Arabidopsis thaliana: one gene and its partners. The protein of the gene in region 1 interacts with the protein of each later gene in a pairwise test. Each region holds a gene or a part of one and is shown on either strand. Other genes may lie near its edges. The genes, in order: AT3G52050, HB-2 and AT2G37150.

Evidence for each region.
Region 2: the proteins of AT3G52050 (region 1) and HB-2 interact in a two-hybrid assay, tested with the Arabidopsis thaliana proteins (one large-scale study listed by BioGRID).
Region 3: the proteins of AT3G52050 (region 1) and AT2G37150 interact in a two-hybrid assay, tested with the Arabidopsis thaliana proteins (one large-scale study listed by BioGRID).

What each region holds. Positions count from the first base shown.
Region 1 is NC_003074.8:19,303,052-19,310,235, forward strand, and holds AT3G52050 (5'-3' exonuclease family protein), read left to right. Parts: upstream 1-1,834; 5' UTR 1,835-2,107; coding exon 2,108-2,302; intron 2,303-2,531; coding exon 2,532-2,745; intron 2,746-2,832; coding exon 2,833-2,912; intron 2,913-3,123; coding exon 3,124-3,162; intron 3,163-3,282; coding exon 3,283-3,301; intron 3,302-4,030; coding exon 4,031-4,084; intron 4,085-4,743; coding exon 4,744-4,871; intron 4,872-4,950; coding exon 4,951-5,019; intron 5,020-5,133; coding exon 5,134-5,219; intron 5,220-5,349; coding exon 5,350-5,459; intron 5,460-5,638; coding exon 5,639-5,689; intron 5,690-5,773; coding exon 5,774-5,832; coding exon of another isoform or gene 5,833-5,880; exon of another isoform or gene 5,881-5,923; coding exon 5,924-5,968; intron 5,969-6,058; coding exon 6,059-6,133; intron 6,134-6,224; coding exon 6,225-6,347; 3' UTR 6,348-6,600; downstream 6,601-7,184. Other genes in the region: AT3G52030 (F-box family protein with WD40/YVTN repeat doamin), read left to right, coding at 176-265, 423-565, 635-719, 810-1,176; AT3G52040 (2,3-bisphosphoglycerate-dependent phosphoglycerate mutase), read right to left, coding at 1,317-1,445, 1,532-1,584, 1,661-1,751.
Region 2 is NC_003075.7:9,447,452-9,451,414, reverse strand, and holds HB-2 (homeobox protein 2), read right to left. Parts: upstream 2,302-3,963; 5' UTR 2,125-2,301; coding exon 1,965-2,124; intron 1,862-1,964; coding exon 1,563-1,861; intron 1,295-1,562; coding exon 1,215-1,294; intron 1,127-1,214; coding exon 811-1,126; 3' UTR 510-810; downstream 1-509. UniProt on the Arabidopsis thaliana protein: Probable transcription factor involved in the negative regulation of cell elongation and specific cell proliferation processes such as lateral root formation and secondary growth of the vascular system.
Region 3 is NC_003071.7:15,603,033-15,609,677, forward strand, and holds AT2G37150 (RING/U-box superfamily protein), read right to left. Parts: upstream 4,569-6,645; coding exon 4,415-4,568; exon of another isoform or gene 3,177-4,414; coding exon of another isoform or gene 3,134-3,176; exon of another isoform or gene 2,962-3,133; coding exon 2,857-2,961; intron 2,723-2,856; coding exon 1,991-2,722; intron 1,916-1,990; coding exon 1,500-1,915; intron 1,310-1,499; coding exon 1,208-1,309; intron 1,131-1,207; coding exon 993-1,130; intron 869-992; coding exon 716-868; 3' UTR 549-715; downstream 1-548. Other genes in the region: AT2G37140 (Terpenoid synthases superfamily protein), read left to right, coding at 94-297; AT2G37160 (Transducin/WD40 repeat-like superfamily protein), read left to right, coding at 6,015-6,197, 6,301-6,645.

The DNA of each region.
Region 1 (7,184 bases):
CTGATATCAAGTTCCTGAGAACCTATCTGTTTCTATAGAAAGATCAACTGATATTCCATGTTACTGACAAAAGTCGGTGTGATACTTCAACATGGCTACCTAGCCCCTCTGCCCCTGTAAGGTTGTTGGCTTCTCTATCCACACTGATAAGTTGTATGTTTTCTTTTTCAACCAGTTACATTGACCCAGAAGCTGTAGTTGGATGCGAGGATGGAACAGCTCGTGTATTTGATATGTACAGTAAGACATGTTCACAGATCATTAGGTAAGCTATGTATTATGTGTCTGTTGTGTTATGGAACAACACAGTGAAACTGGAAAAGAACGGTTTTTCATTATCAAAATTGTTTACAATTTCTTTTGAGAAAGCTAAATCACAATTTTCCTATCAGATTGGTTAATAACTATGTATGTAATTGCAGGACTCAGGGTGGGCCAATAACATGCTTATCTCTAAGCGATAATCAACTATTTCTTAGTGGGTCGTCACTCGGGAGAGTAACAGTATCTGACCCTTTGATGGATCAACCAGTGGCCACTCTTAAATCCACGATAACTGCAGGAGGTAAACTCAAACTCAATGTCAGATTGCATCTCCAGTGACATTTCTTAAAGCAACCTCCATTCTCTACAGGTATACAGACAATCTGTTTTAACCAAGGCACTAATCTCGCCTTCATTGGAACAACTGGTGGATATGTTTCATGCTGGGACCTCAGGTATGTTAAAATAGTCGTCTAAGGTTTTTTTCAAAGATGCAAGTTTTAATTCACTATCTTAAGACGTTATAACCAACTATTATCTAACAGGAAAATGGATAGATTGTGGGAAAAACGAGTGAGTCCTAATGTCGTGTACTCAATACAACAGCTAAGGAATGACACATCGGTTATGGTAGCTGGTGGAATAGACGGTGTGCTGCGTATGATTGATCAGAAGAGTGGAAGGGTTTTATCTAGAGTTATAATGGACGATAAATTCTCCACAACATCAACAAGGAACAACCAAGTGGTGATAGAGAAAAGAAGAGGAAAAAGAGTTTCTCAAGACATGGAGATTGATAAAATCGAAAGGAAAGTTCGGCCTCAAATCAGTTGCATAGCAATGGGGATGAAGAAGATGGTAACGGCTCACAATGGTAAATGCATAAGTGTATGGAAGTTCAATCTCTCGTAAAGTAACAATAAACTTGTTTGTAAGTGACGAAATTGGTAACAATAGCATTATAAATGATTGATTTAAAGACAAAACCGATTGGATTGTGTAAGAGCTACAAAAGTTGAAACACTGGAAACAAAAAAAGAAGGGTTTGTTGTCTATTTGGCGGATTTCTTGGATGGCTCAGGTTGAGATTCAGCTTTGATGATATTGAGTTGACCACCTTCTTTACAAGCTGCATTAGTTGCTTTCACTTCATTGCAATGGTTTATGAATTTCGTAAGCTCCTGCTCCACACAACACCAACCAATAACTCACAATTAAAGATCCAATCGATTCAGAATTTAGGGAGATTGAAGAATATAGAAATTACCCGATCAGTGTCCATCTCTTTCGTCATCTTTGTTGGTTTCACATTTCTCTTCCCTGGAACAAGAAGATGATAAAATCTGAGAAATCAAAATCGAAAGGGATTTGTGTGAAGTAAAAAAAAAGTGAATACCTTTGCGAGTTTGAATGGATTTGCCATGGCGATTAGGAGCAATAGTCTTCCTCTTCTGTTGGCCCTTGAACTGATTGCTCTTCTGCGTCATCTTTGGATCGTCGTTTCTAGCTAGGGTTTTCTCTTCTGTCGAAGGGTTTTTGTTGTAATAGAAGAAGAAGAAGAACAACAATCAAAAGCCTATATAATGGGCTCTTAAGGCCTTTATTTATATGGGCTGATTAATTATTGGGCCCAATTTGGAGTTTTCTAAATTCAACTCTGCTAAATTTTTGGGAGGCAGAAGATTTTGTTCCGAGGAAGACACGGATACGCAGAAAGCGGTAAAATCCTCCTTCTTCGTCGTCCTTGTAAAAACCCTTTCTCATTTTTGGAAGGTTCTTTCAAAATCCTTTCTTCGATTGCTTTCGGATTCTCGCTCGCTTCTTCGATTTTTGGTTTTGATTCATGGTGAATGTGTTTCCTCCGCTAAGGTTAAACGCTCTTCTTCTTCATGACAGTACTTTCAGTGACGTCATGACGCTGCATCTGTATCATCACTCCCGTTTTCTATGGAGGAATCTCTGTTTTCCTCGGAGTGTTGGAAACTTGTGTAATCGGAACTGTTCTCTCATCTCTCCTTCCCTTGCACGCTCTGCGAAGGTGATACTTGTACTTGTATCGTTCAATTCTGAGCTATTTAGATGTGGTTTTTACTCTTGTTATGTAGTCTACATCTGAATCATGGCTCTGATTAGTTTGATATACAGATTTTCTGAATCAATTGAATGTTTCTTTCGCGACATTTCTGTTTACTATAAACTCAAAATTGATCTCTGAAGGATACTTATTATTTCGTTCTAATGTTGATATAAACATTTGTGGTACACAGTACTATTGCAGTTCCGTAGCTGTTTCTGAATTCTCAAATGAAGCAGCTAGTGGCAGCACATTGACTTCTATAAGTGAAGATGTTACGCCACAGTCGATAAAATATCCTTTCAAGTCAGAAGAAAGAGTAGCTAGTACTGCTGCTTCTTCAAATGGCAGAGTGATGCTTATTGATGGGACATCGATTATATACAGGGCTTATTATAAGCTTTTAGGTAATTCTGCTACTCATGTGTACATCAAATGTTAATTTTTTTTCCTCCCGATCTCACACTTATTGACATTTGATTGGGCATGTGCAGCAAGGTTGAATCATGGTCATCTGGCTCATGCTGATGGAAATGCGGACTGGGTTTTAACAATATTTTCATCTCTTTCTCTTGTAAGTGATATCTTGAGTATTGTTCTCCAGATGTTCATTTTTACTGTACTTAAATCTGATGGTTGAGAAAAGCTTCTTGTAGCATTAACGATGGCTGACCAAGTAATCATGGTTGCGTATAATTATGTTTCCTTAAGGCTAAAGTTTATCTTTCTTGTTATAACTTTCGCATTCGACTTCTTACCTTGTTTCATTGTGTTCTCATTTTCAGCTGATTGATGTTTTGAAATTTCTCCCATCCCATGTGGCGGTAAATTCCATTATCCATTTAACATCGCATTTCTTTATATCTGTGATGATCGAATGAAGTTCTTGTAGTTTTCTTAATGTTGGATAGCCCCTACTGACTTAATTAACTGTGTCCATGCAGGTGGTGTTCGACCATGATGGTGAGTCCTAATGTAATAGTCTTCTATAATTGGTTAAATTCATGGACGTCTATCTACTTCATGTGGTGATGTAGGAAGAATTCAGGTTTTTGGGGACTTTTAGTGTCTATAGTTAACCACTTTGAGTGTGCCTCTCAGATGATTTAAACTAATTCATTGATATAAGCCCTTATTTCAAACTCTATAGTTATGGCCTCTATACTTCCTGATTTTAATTACTCAAGTATGTGTATGATTTCCCCTTATCAATTGATGCTAATTGCTCCTCTAGTCATCTATAATTTTGATTTTCATCATCCTCTTTCAGATGAATAGATAAATAATTGTCTTCAGCTTGTTGAATGTTGTTGCCCGAAAACTTAGATTATGTTGAGTGTTGATGTTTTCAACTTCATTTGTATCATAGTGAATGGATAAAAGTTTCAGATTTCAACTTCTGGCCACTACTGAGAACATTTATTCGATAGGCCTAAGAGTAAGCAGGTGGAGATCTAGATGGTGATATATTGACCAAAATTGATTACTTAATCTTGATAATCATTACTGTACTATTTATGGAATATTCCACTAAGTTATCTAGAAAAGCTTCTAGTAATGCATAATAGTGGTAATCTGACAAATATCATGTAGTAATCATGGTTATGTCATATGTGAGGCAAGAAGATTAAATGCTTTCTGGACCTATACGTCTCTAGTTACTCTTTTTTAACAAAATAGAGCCTTTTTCAGGAGTTCCTTATGGCACTACTTCTAATTCATCTACAGGTTATCGTTCTGCAAAAGGTAAGCTCCATGTCCTTAGTCAAACTAAAGTAATTTAATTGACAGTATAAGAAGTGGTCATTTTTGCATGAGAGTTTAGTTAGTATGCTGACTCGATGGTGATGTATGTAATATCATCGCCGATGATCTCCAATTGCTATACAAGCCTTCAGTATATTGCTTCTAAATATATAAACTTGCAGTTTGAACTGATTTTCTGCTGTGTGCCTAGGAGAAATTATTCCGGAAATTATGGCTTACTTGCCAAGGATGATATTTGAAGTGAAATGCCAACTTTGTCTTCCTTTGGGTGTTTTGCTTGCCGCTTTTGGGCAGTCATAAACTTTGGTGTAGATAACAGAGGGTCGGTCATATGCGCTTCCATGGCGGTCTTTGGCTATTTGTAAAATAAACTTAGGTCATATCCAATGATGAACGTAGGTCCAGTATGCTTGATGTCTTTTGTTGTTTCCGTTCTGTACATACTGACATAGATATGCATATCCAATACTCTCTTCTTTCTACGTGATGGGTTCACTTGGCTGCTCAAACTGTAAATTTTAGGCTTTTTGGCACTCTAAACCTCGACATGATTCTCCCTTGTCTTTGCGCAGAGTGTGAAGGATTATTTTTATGCATCAGTATCAAACCTATCTTTGTTCATGTTTAAATTTTTACAGGCATGAACTTCCGTCATACTCTCTACCCAGCATATAAAAGTAATCGTCCTCCCACACCTGATACCATAGTACAAGGACTTCAATATCTCAAAGCGTCCATCAAGGCAATGTCTATAAAAGTTATAGAGGTAAATCATGCACATGATTGCCATATTTCCTTTCATTGTGATGATTTCTCACTAATGGGCAGACATTCCATGAAGACAGGTGCCAGGTGTAGAAGCTGATGATGTTATTGGAACACTGGCTATGCGAAGCATTAGTGCCGGTTTCAAAGTACTCATTTTCAGCTATTCGAGAAGTGTTCACTACTTATTGAATGCTCAGGGTCTGTTCAATTTGTCCTTTTCCTAGAAGTGGACTGATCATTTGTTTGTTACCCCTTTACAGGTCCGAGTTGTCTCTCCAGACAAAGACTTCTTTCAGATTCTTTCTCCCTCGTTGCGTCTTCTTCGACTAACACCACGCGGATCAGAGTATGAAATTCATGTTAGATGGATAATTGCCTCATTGTAGAATTTTGCGTATTATGAAACCATAGTTGCTCTTTGTATCCTGTATGTTTTTTCCACTCAGTTGTGTCAAGGCTACTGCTTCTTGTGGCAGGATGGCTTCTTTTGGAATGGAAGATTTTGCTAAAAAGTTTGGAAATTTGGAACCAGCACAATTTGTTGATATCATCGCCCTTGCTGGAGACAAGTCTGATAATATTCCAGGTTAAGCCCACTTCCTCTACCCCTCACGAAATTGTTAATTTCTGGGGATATTCCTTTCATAGCCGCATTTTGTGTATCACAGAAAAGTTGAGCAAAAGTGCACAATCTACATACAAACGTTTAGCCAAAGTGCACACAGGAAAGGGCTAAAGTGATCTAATGATGTTTGTGTGATGCAGGAGTTGATGGTATTGGGAATGTGCACGCAGTGGAACTGATATCTAGATTTGGTATTCACTGAGTCATGCTATATTCTTTGATTTCATTGATTTGCGCCCCATGTTTCCTATTACTCACTTTTATTGCATTATCAGGCACGTTGGAGAATCTGTTGCAGTCTGTGGATGAGATCAAAGAAGGAAAAATAAAGGAGGTGAGTGAACAAGTGTTGCAGAGGTTAGGCAAGCTAGTGCTTCTGTGATATGCAAGGCCTAATATTATAATCTTCCTTGTCTTTGCAACAGTCTCTAATAGCTAGTGCGGATCAAGCCATTCTTAGCAAGAAATTGGTAGGTTTTCCTGTTTTTCTTTCATACTTTCATTCATTTATTCAGTTGTTAAGTTCACAAGGTAGGGATGATGAATTGTGTTAATGGCAGGCACTGTTACGGTCTGATCTCCCAGATTACATAGTACCGTTCGACACGAAAGATCTTACTTTTAAGAAACCAGAGGTTTGTATTTGTATGACGATATACATCTACTACAATAGACTAACTGAAAACAGAAAGATTAGTAACAGAGGATAATTTGTGAAATGTACAGGACAATGGTGAGAAATTGAGTAGCCTGTTAATCGCGATTGCGGATTACGCAGAAGGATTTTCAGCTGATCCAGTCATCAGAAGAGCTTTCAGGTTGTGGGAAAAACTGGAAGCAGTGCCATGATGATATTTTATGCATCTTTTTTCTTACTCGTTTCTTTGTATTGGGTACATAAAATAGAGTAAGTTCAAGCCAAGCTTAGAAAGTTCTCCCACAAAACATTAAAGCGATACTTTCACAATCCTTTTGTAAAGCATGCTTTATTGTAACTATGGAGAATGATGAAGTTGATGCTAATTTAGAATGCTCCTCCATGGGAGGTTCCATTACATAAAACACAAGGGAGATGATAACTTCAAGCTAGCCTCTTCTGAACACATCTAAAATGCTGTCTGAAACTCTGTTCACTTTGCTAAAACAAGAATCTCTTCTGTCTTTTAGTTGAATAGGTAAACTAACGTTAATATCATTTACTATTATTAGTATCCGCTAAATTGATTATAAAAAAAGGTCAAGTTAATGCCTCATGGAGACATATGATGATGATGATCAAAGTAAATTATAAACTAAGAAGAAAATATTCGTCTCTATTGAATTAATTATGTACATTAGTGACAATAAGAACTAAAAATATTCTAAACAAATTAACAATGAAAGAAAAGAGACAAGGTACTAAACTAGTACGTAAATTAGTAGACAAACTCCTTCATTGGATCTCAAACCAAATCGAAAACCAAGGACCAAGGTAGCATTATGCTTTTGATGATGGGGTCTGAAAGTGTGTTACCACTTACCACCTTGTGACAACTTTGGAACACTGAGTATTGGTGAAACCACTACTCAAAGCTTAAGCCCGTTCGCACAGTGACCCGGCTTTGAGCTTATGAAATAATGGACTCCGGGGTTTGGTGAGCCTGACGAGATCGAGGCCTGTCTTGTGCACGGCTACTGGAGAAGTGG
Region 2 (3,963 bases), on another chromosome or scaffold:
TTTTTAGCAAGACAATTAGTACAAATATTACTACTTCATGGCCTAGTATATCCTAAATACGTTAAACGTATCCAATCCTATTGATCATCTAGCATTTTCAACATCTCAGAGCAGTCCAATTCAACACCATTGAAAAATCAGAGTTTTAAATTTAACATGTAGTGGGGATAAGCACTTGCGTTAACCTTTCAAACCCAAGAAGTGGCCCATAGCCTAACCTACATGTTCAATAAGGCCTAAACTTTGCCCATACTCATGTATGACATATGGTAATCTCTTTCTCACTTATAGTTGTAATGGTAATGCCAGGAACACTTGGGCCCAAAGTATAAGTTTTAAGTTTTTAAGTTTAACAAAAAAAAAAAAAAAAAAAATCCTGGAAAAACTTTTAGAAATTTCAACTATTTTTAGCCCACTATTTAATATTTTTCACATAGCCACATGAAACAATTTGGACCATTTAATTTTCTTTTGCATTTCCTACATCAATTGTACTTCTTGGTTTGTGGCTACTCGCTAGACACTATAAATATTATTGCAATAAAGTTTCTTGTGATAGTTTTGTCCAAAATATTTATTGCAACAAAACAAAACAAAATGATTTCAAAGTCATAATATCTGATAGCATTGGCTCTAAATATTTGTTGTTACTTGTTAGCATGACACATATATGTTGGTTTAAGCTAGAAAAATATTAATCTGTTTTTCTTTCTTTCTAAGAAAATACATACATGTTAACAACTACATGCATATCTGGTCCATGAAACTTAAAAAACGACCAAAATGCCCTTTGGTTGCAAGTAAAAAGACTTAGGACCTAGGACGAAGAGCGTCAAAAGTCAAGCCGTGAGATATCCTCGTCGCAGGAGCCCACGCATTGACCGGCAACGACCGGTGGTGCGCTGACGTAGCAGCCTGAGGTTGTGGTGGCGGGACCGACACGTGTTCACATGAAGGGCACATGGTCAAAGTAGTGGGTGGGCTCATGTGCATGTAGAACTGAGGAGAGAGCTTAAGTGCTCTCAATTCCGTTACTTCTTTTTGTAGCCGACGGTTCTCTTCCGTTAGATTCTCGCAGCATCTCCGTAAGAACTCGCAGTCTACCTCCGTTTGCTTCAGCTTTGTTCTGTTAAACATTTACCAAAATACCCTTATAAGAAAATAGATAAATCAGGCAAATAGAGAGATCTTTTGTTTGTGTGTGTTTTATTTACCTTGCTCGTCTGTTCTGAAACCAAACTTCCACTTGTCTTGCTCGTAACCCTAATTGTTTAGCCAATGCTTGCTTCTGCTTCTGTGAAAAAAAGTTGAAAAAAACCTTGATATCAGTCTACATTTACCAAAATGCCATTTATAAATTAATATCTGCATTTATGAGAGACCGAAACAAATAGTAGTAGTAATGTTTTTTCTTTGGTCAACATGTAACAATAGTCATTTTAATGTGAATATTTCATTAACGCGTTCTTTTTTCGTTTCCACAATTTATCATAGCCATTAATTTTCCCAGTAAAACCAAACTTTCTCGGGTGAAACAATAAGTAAAAGAAGAAAAAAATTACCGGATTGAGAGTACTGTGATCTTTGAAGGTCTCTTCAAGAATAGCAGATTGATCTTTGGAAAGTCTAAGCTTTTTCCTGGAGTTATCACCATCTTCATCGTCACTGATTCCTCTTGAGCCTTGTGGATCTGTGTCTTCTTCTCTCTCGCTTCTTTTCCCTGTAGAGCTTGAGACTGTACTGTTAGGTGAAGATACTCCAGCGTCTTCGTCGCCGTATTCCGCTGTAGACGGTGGTCTGTTCACGTCGATTCCTCGGATGAAAGTTCTTGTTTCTTTTTGTGACGAATCTGAGTTTGGAACTGCATGCATAAGATTGAAAAGTAGAGTAAAAGGTGAGACCTTTAAGGTTTTTTCCGGGGAAAAATAAAAAAAAACAGAGGAACGAAGAAAGCGATGAAGTACCTGAAGAAGTAAAACTCTCGTTCCATGAAGATCTTCTGAATAATCCAAAAGAAGAAGAAGAAGGAGTAACAGAAACAGATGGATTTGATTTGAGATTGATCTGTTTCTTTGGAAAATTCAAGCCTAAGCTTAGACCCAGATCGTCTTTCTCGAACATCATCTTCTGTTGAACTTTCTCAAGATAAGAAAAAAAAACTCTGTTTTTGCAAATAAAGTTGTCTGCTTTTCTTTTGAGAGATAGAAGATGAGAAAGTAAAGGAAGAAGAAAGGTTAATATATAGAGAGGCAGAGAGAGAGAGAGATTTTGCAATCATGAGTATGTGACTAGCTGGGGGCAAAATAGTTATTATTATTAAAGTCAAGAATAAACTATTGAAAACTTTAGTTCAATGGAAATAATTTTATAATCACAAACTTTGCTTCTTTGTCCCCCTCTATATAACTCTCTCAAACCTAAACAAATTATCAAATCTAAGAAATTGTGATAAAATAATAATTATAGTCGCATCATTAATGATTAATGTTGATACTATATTAATGTTTATGTGACATCAATTTTCTCAGTCAAAGATGATTATCAAACTATCACTAATAGATAATTTTTAGGATATTCATAAGGCGAGAACAAAATCTAATCGTAGTTATCTTATTTTGCCTTTTGTTTACTTTTTTTTTGTTTTAAACATTTGGACTTATCACTTTTCGTTTTATTTCAACCAAATTTTCTGTTGTAGGTGATTGGTTAGATCGTTGAGTCGTGAGAATATATGACCTAGTCAAACAGAAATTTAGAAATCCTCTTTGACAATTATTGGAATTAGATCTTTCATTTTTCGATATATATCACTATCTGCAACTAATAAAGCATATAAATTAGTAAGTTACCATGAACAATTGCACATCCAACAATAGTAAAATCAAATTTTTATCATTTCCATGGAATTTATCAAATTTTAACTATGATTGACTTTATTTTATGAGATTATTAAAAGTGGGAATGATAATTTGATTGCTATTGTCGAGAAAGAGTAAAAAAAATGATTACCCTTCTTGATGACTCTAAAGGCCAAAGAGTCACGCTTGTTGCACACTTTAAAAACCTTTTACTTTTAAACATTAGTGATAAAGTTAATTAAAGAAGAACTAAACAAAAACGGTTGAATTGAATTCAAACTTCTTTTTATGAAAAAATTAAAGAATTCAAACTTCTTTTCAGATTTTCTTCTTCTAACGCATGGGTCGACCGCATGAGTTTTACTTTTGTCGTTGAACCACTTAATGACCAAAAACAGTACATTGTACCAGAATATAAAATACTACTATTTAAACTTATTAATAACTTATAATGATGTTTTCTTTTTCTTTTTGTTAACTTAATAGTGATGATGTTAATGAGGATGTTGAGAGAGTATCATCATATACCATAAGTCCATAAACTTATTTGTCTGAATGATTTTTGAGTTTTATTTGGTTTTATAAAAACTGATGTTTTGTATTATGATAACTTTCATTTCTCACCTATAACAAGTGTAAAAAAAGAAAATTAATTATTATTATTAAACTAATAAAATTAATTAAAAATGTAGAATTATGTGCATGTATAATAAAATTATTAAATCATGCATTGAGATAAACATGGGTTTCATTCGACTTTTTAAAATGAATAACATCATACATTAAGCATGGTTAGATGTTTTTGTAATGCTAAATCGTTGAATAATTTGTAAATCAAATGGTTACTTGTCAAATCATATAATTATTTCATATAGACCCATTTTGGTCATAAAGGTCGATTAATGAGCATCAAAATCGATTCCTTTTATTAGTTGCAACAAGATTTTTCTTGCCTTCAAATCCTTAAAGGAGATTAATTCAGCATTGACAGTGAAGGTCCCAGTGACACGCCAAAAGAAGAAATGATTATAGAGATTGAAAAGAAATTGACGGTCACCGATTAAACGTTGAGAAAACCAAAGGCTGAAATGACATCATACGGTTG
Region 3 (6,645 bases), on another chromosome or scaffold:
AGTATCTTAGCTAGTACCTCACTAATAACGGTCGACATAAAGAGATTATCATAGACATAACATCTTTTTGTATATATGCTCCTAAACATTAAGCAGTTCAAACTATACTCAAAGGCCAACCTTAGCTATGCAGAGTGGGCACAAGGAGACATCGTGCCTACATTCGATGAGTACTTGGAGATTGGTGGTGTTGAGGTGTCAATGTATGTAACTGTTTCATGCAGTTTTCTTGGGTTGGTACAAACTGCTAGAAGAAAAAGTTATGAGTGGCTTAAATCCAGACGGCCAAGTCAGTGAACGAAGTGTACTTGAAGTCAAGGAAGATAATATCAGGCGATATCTTATCACGGGCCACTAATGCTGGAAAAATGATAGATGTGACCTACAGGACCGGTGAAGAATTCACCCATCCACAAGGAAAATTCAAGGACTATATCATCTCTTTATTTGTCAATCTTATTTCTCTTTGAAGATGAAATACCATATAGTGTGAAGTGTTGTGTAACTATTTGCATCTGTAACAAATCCAGATTTTCCAAAGAGAGCCTTTTCCAATAATTAACATATATATTAACCCTTGAGAAAGATCCTGGACTTTCTTCTATTTACAACTATTAATCACTAAGAAAACTTAATGTTATATTCTGTCACATATTTTTCTTCCTTTCGAAAGACAAATGAATATAACATGCACACATAAAAGATAACCTATAATTTATGATGAGTTCTTAGAAGCATCAGGTAAAGCAGGGGATTTGCAAATAGGGCAAGAGTTCTTCATAGACAACCATTTCTTGATGCACCTCCCATGGTAGTCATGACCACACCCCTTAACTTCCCCTAACTCTTCTTTTTCCTTGTACTCCTCCTATTTGTTTACCAATTACCACATCACCCTTAAGTTAGCCTACTTCTAACTTTATAGACACATAATGTTTCAGACAACTAAATCTTACCAGGTTGTGAAAAAAAAAAAAAAAACTAAATCTTACCAGGCAGATTGCACATTTTCTTTGCTCCTCTGTTTGATATGATGGATAATACATTGTTGCTAACAAGCAACTGGAGATTGCGCTGTCGGATAGACCAGTGTTGACACTCCCAATCCTTTCTCCAAGATCAAGGAGTTCCTGCATATATATGTCAGTACCAAAACTTTTCGTTTTGCCTATGTGAGGCTTCAAAAGATAAGTGTTTGGCTATTAACCTCATAGCTCATGTTATCGATGTCAAGCCTCATGTCTCTGTGGTGATCAAGCATGTTTCTGGATCCGTAGTATTGTGGTTGGCGATCTTCAACCATGAATTCCTATTATTACATACACCCCAAAAAATAACAGATTACAGTTCAGCATGCAGCAGAAAATGATAAGATTGCAAATCTATATCTTAATATTCGATATGCACTGTATCATATCGGCTTGATCTTTATCTTAATACTAAATGTAATTTAGACAGACTTCCACTCTAAATAATGCATCTGTAAGGGAAATATATACCTCAGATGAAAACCGTTCGTGGAGAGCAACTTCATCGAAAGGAGGCTGAAACCTCTCATAGGAACTTCTGCGTCTCCCTGGCCGATCACCGCTACGCCATGAAATGTGTGGTGGTGGCCTTAAATGCCTAGACGGATAAGTCTCAGTGACCAAATGAGACCTGTCTCCAGAAGAAGATGCTACATGTCCCGATCGCGAACCGTGTGAAGAAGATCTATAGGTGGATGTTGACCTATGAGAGAAGCGGCTGCTGCTTGTAGATAGTGTTGAAGTTCCAGGAACCCCGTGGGAAACTGTAGGGTTTCTGTTTCCGGTAAGCTCATGGTGATGATAGCCGGAAGTATTAACAGATAAGCTGTTGACAACACTTCTTGCAGGAAGGAAATTATTTGTCTCTGGACTAAAGCCATTTATATCTGCAAAGTGGGAATTAATGTGATTATTAGAAACAAAGACGATTCAGATATCGAGACAAAGTGAACTTTGCATACCTCTAAGAACTGGGGACAATCTAGCACAGTTCCAGTCTTTATTTCCGTGAGATGTCTGACCAGGAAATTGACCTGAGCCATAATGATCAACACTGTGGTGGTGTGTAGAATGAGAATCAAGGCTCAAGCTTCTTGGCAAATTATTTCTACCTAAGCTGGTCTCTGAATCAAGTGTAGGACGACTCCGGACATTCCTTGAAGAGCTCTCTCCCCTGATCGAGAGATTATTACTTCTGTAAGTTGGGTTCATAAGCCATGGCATGTAATGAGGGTCATGATCATGCGTTATTGATTTTCCCAAGTGCAATTCCGAGGGGAAATGAGTGTCTGCAGGAGTTCTGTCACCGTGATATTGGCTTGAACTACCCATTTCATAGATGGAAGAAGGACATGGTCGTTTTCTCTTTTGTGCTCCTCTCACACTTTCCATAGATTGATGATCAACATAACTAGCATTTGACCATGTCTGGCTGTTGTAGCTTGAAGAAGATGCAAATGTCACATAATTCTCATGTGGAGCAGAGAAAGTTGGAACTGTTGAATTCACGGAAGGATCATGGGACGGCCCCGAAACCCCCGGATTGTAGTGTGGTCTCTCCACACTATGACCTGAGTCAGTATAAGCATTTGGTCCTGGAGAAGAGTTCCAATGAGAAGACACTGGCATTCCTTCATTCAACATGTTTTCTGCTGGATAAACATGTGATCTGTTCTCACTGGTCCCAGATGTTGCTGAGAAAATGTGGGATGGACAATAATTAATCAGAAATATGGAACATATTACCCTAAAACTAAACATGCATCATCAACCAAATTTCAATAAATAAAAAACAGATTAAGGAACTATAGAATGAAGGACTAATTACCTTGACTCGAATATGGATGTTCTGGGTGTGTATGATTCCAGCCTTGATCATGTTCATCATCAAAAAACTGGGATGAACCAAGAAAATGTCTGTGCCCCATTAAACCTGCACAAAAATTTCTCTCACCATTCAAAATCCCAGGAAAACATCCGCAAGCTCAGAAAAAAAAAAAATCTATAATTTCCAACCAACATAGTTTACTTTCAGTCTGATAGCCAAATTTCCCAAGTAAATATATAAGAAATCAGTCCATAGTTTCAAGCTCTAGTACCATTACCTTTGTAACATGTACCTACCATATTATATACCTCAGATCTCATGATATCATAAGCAAACAAGTTTTTGTGGACTTAGGCTCTGTGCTGCAGGAAAGTTCATGATGCTTATACATGAAAAATAAACCTTAATAGTACAGATCTTTTAGTTCATAAGAAAAACTTACATAGAAGAGTTTGTCAATAACAACAGACATACTTCTTTTAAACCAAAAGAAAAGAGAGGCAGAAAACAAGCACGGTTGGGAAACTAAGAAGCCTTTGCATTTAAAGTATCACTAAGGTTCTCGACTCTCCAAACCAGAGCCATCAAAAGTGAAGAGTAATACAAGGAGTTCATCAAATTACACACTTTCAAAAAGTCTATAGAATTTACAGAAAAGTCTATAGGAAACTGATTAGGAAATAGAAGAGGATGAAAGAATAAGGCACGATGGCAAATTATCATATACTGTATCCGCATAAAAGAGCATCAGAGCAAGTTCATGCAAAATAGGTAACACTTGATATCATCTTTTCAGTTTCTATCAATGTACTACTTCTTCGTTTATATTCAAGTAAAGGCCTTGTACATGTATTTCACTAAACTTACAACCATAGATGACATGAGCAAGAAAATTACATGGAAAATCCAATAGCAGGACTTAAGCTTAAAATATTTTTCTGAACCGAAACCCTCAAAAGTGCACCTGCAGGCAAATAATCCTAGAAGGATATAGGTTTAGAAAGTCCTAACCACGAATACACTACACTACCCAAGTGATAAAGCCGTCGTGCTTGATTGATCACTGATTCATCATTTCTGCACACCTTTAAAGTAGACCAACAGGAAGCAATTAGGCCCTTGACTTCACTAATACAATGAGAACACCAAATTCTATTCCTTCTCCTCTGATCCACAAATTGAATACACTACAGTTTCCTTAGATAAACGGATTTAGTCCACAAAAGTACTAGCCTGCAAAGGCTTACTACCTCATTTACTATTTCTGCGCTCTTATTGTCTTCAAACCCACCAGCACACCTTAATAGACTCCTGAATTCGGGCTTGTGTGAAAGGATGCTTTCTTAAAATTAGCATTATGTTTCACATCATTGTGCATCCAAATCAAATGCTTGTACGTGACAGCATGTCACTCTAGAAACCATTATATGATAGATGTAGTTTGTTAGGAAGATTGAAGTTCCCCACTCATGGATACCGTACCTCAAGCATCTTCAACTGACTAAACACACTCTGGTACACATGTGATGGCAGAGACTAGTTATGGTTATTTCCTTACCCCTATGGATCAGAATAACTTCTAGATGACTTGAGTTCAAGTTCGCTTTGCTTTCCCAATCAACCAAGAAGGTCCACAACACAATCCGCAAATCAGAATACATCAAGGATAGGCCAGCCACCAATCCTAATGGGCTAACATGAGGAACTAACATCTGTTTGAAATGTGTTATCAATGCAATTTCTTTAAGAATGATGCCATAATTTCAAAGTTTCTAAAAGTTCTCAAAGAGGAAGATGAATTCTGACCTGAAACTATAGCCGTACTAGTTCTCAAATCTTCCAAACACTTGAATCACTGATTAGGCTTTTCTCCAGTTTCTCAACTACCAGAGGTTCGTGGTGGAGAAAGGTATGATAGAACTAGAAACCACCATTGCCACTAAACCTGCAGCCTGCAGGATACAAACCAGCTAAGCCTAGGTTATGCTAATACACTATATCCCAAACTAGCTTACCCGCATCGCTGAAGTAGCAGCCTGAACAACATTATCAACAGCTAACCAAAACACAAAGCTTACAACATCTCCTCTAATCACCGAGCTGGTCTCTTCTCAGTATCGGAATCTTAAAAAGCTAACAACTACGTGAAAGAGAACAAATTCGAAGTCTGAAATTATCAGAACCGACTCCGGTTAACGGACATGATCGCGATCATACCCGAAGATTGTGGGAAAAGTCACCGATGTAGCAGCAAAACCGGGAATAAACCGGATTAAACCGAAAAAAAGAAACAATCCATCATCACACAATCACAAGAGAAAAAAGGAAACAACGATCGGCTTGTTTATACATACCAACACGAAATAATCAGCTCAACGGCGAAACAACAATAATGATCGGAGAAATGAGAAACATTACCAAAGCGTTCCGGCGATGAGAAAAGAAGACCGATCGGAGAAAAGCAAAGAGACGTATGGATTCGTATAGATGACGCAACCTTTTATGAAAAAGAGGTTTTAGAGAGAGAAATATGTTTTGAAGACAAATTGCTTTCTTTTTTGGTGATGGTTGAGCGATGAAGAGTATCGGTTTATATTTAAGAAAAATCAAATTAAAGCGGTTGAGTTACGACGTTGCCGGGACATTAATCCCTTCTCTGACCAACTTCACCGGCTACCGGTAAAACCCGTTCACTGTCTTATTGTCGACTAAACAATTTATTAATTAACTATGGTTCTTCAGTAATGGGCCTATATTTTTGGACTGTACTTGGGCCTCAGCTGTACGTATCAAAAGGGTTCGAGAAACTCAGAGATTAAAGGGATCTTGACCGTTGATCGAGATGACTTTGATTTTATCCATTAATAGTCAATTTGATTGATGAGTTAAGAGGATGATTAAGAAAGCAATAAAGGAAGCGAATCGGAATCCACATTGTATTAATCTTTTTGATCCAGTAGCCATTGGCGAATCCAGGAGTATTAAAGTTCCATTTTGATTTTGGCGACGATGATGAACAGAGTTTAGAGAAATTTGCATTGAAGAAGAGAAGATTTTTGGATTTTGTGTAGTGGGAGAAGGGTAAACCCTAGCTTGGGAGGGACATGATCGGATGCTCTAAGTAGCTTGTGAATTAGAGAAAGAGCAAGTGAGCAAATATGATGAACACTTCGAATGGGATGATCTCTGGGCCTTCTTCTTCGTCAGCTTCGGCGGCGAATCCTCAGTCTCCGGGAATCAAAACGTATTTCAAGACGCCTGAAGGAAAGTACAAGCTCCACTACGAGAAGACGCATCCCTCTGGGCTTCTTCACTACACTCATGGCAAAACCGTTACTCAGGTGAAGATTTGATTCGTTTTCTTTGGTGTTTATTTTTGAATTGAAAGTTTAATCCAATCTGATTTCTTTGCACTTGTGATTGCTATTACGAAATTGCTATTAGGTTTTGTGTAAGAATATCAAATGCACATTTCATTTTTATGTTTTGAAAGTGGTTTCTGAGAATGGATTTGTGAAATTTTGGTGTCAGGTTACTCTAGCTCACCTTAAGGATAAACCTGCTCCATCGACACCAACTGGGACCTCGTCAAGTTCCACAGCTAGTAGCGGTTTCCGGTCAGCAACAGCAAGGTTATTGGGTGGTGGGAATGGTAACCGTGCGCTTAGTTTTGTTGGAGGTAATGGAGGGGCTAAAAATGTGGGTGCAAGTTCAAGGATTGGGGCCTCATTCGCTGCTTCTAGTTCTAATACCTCAGCTACTAATACAAATTTCGATGGGAAAGGAACT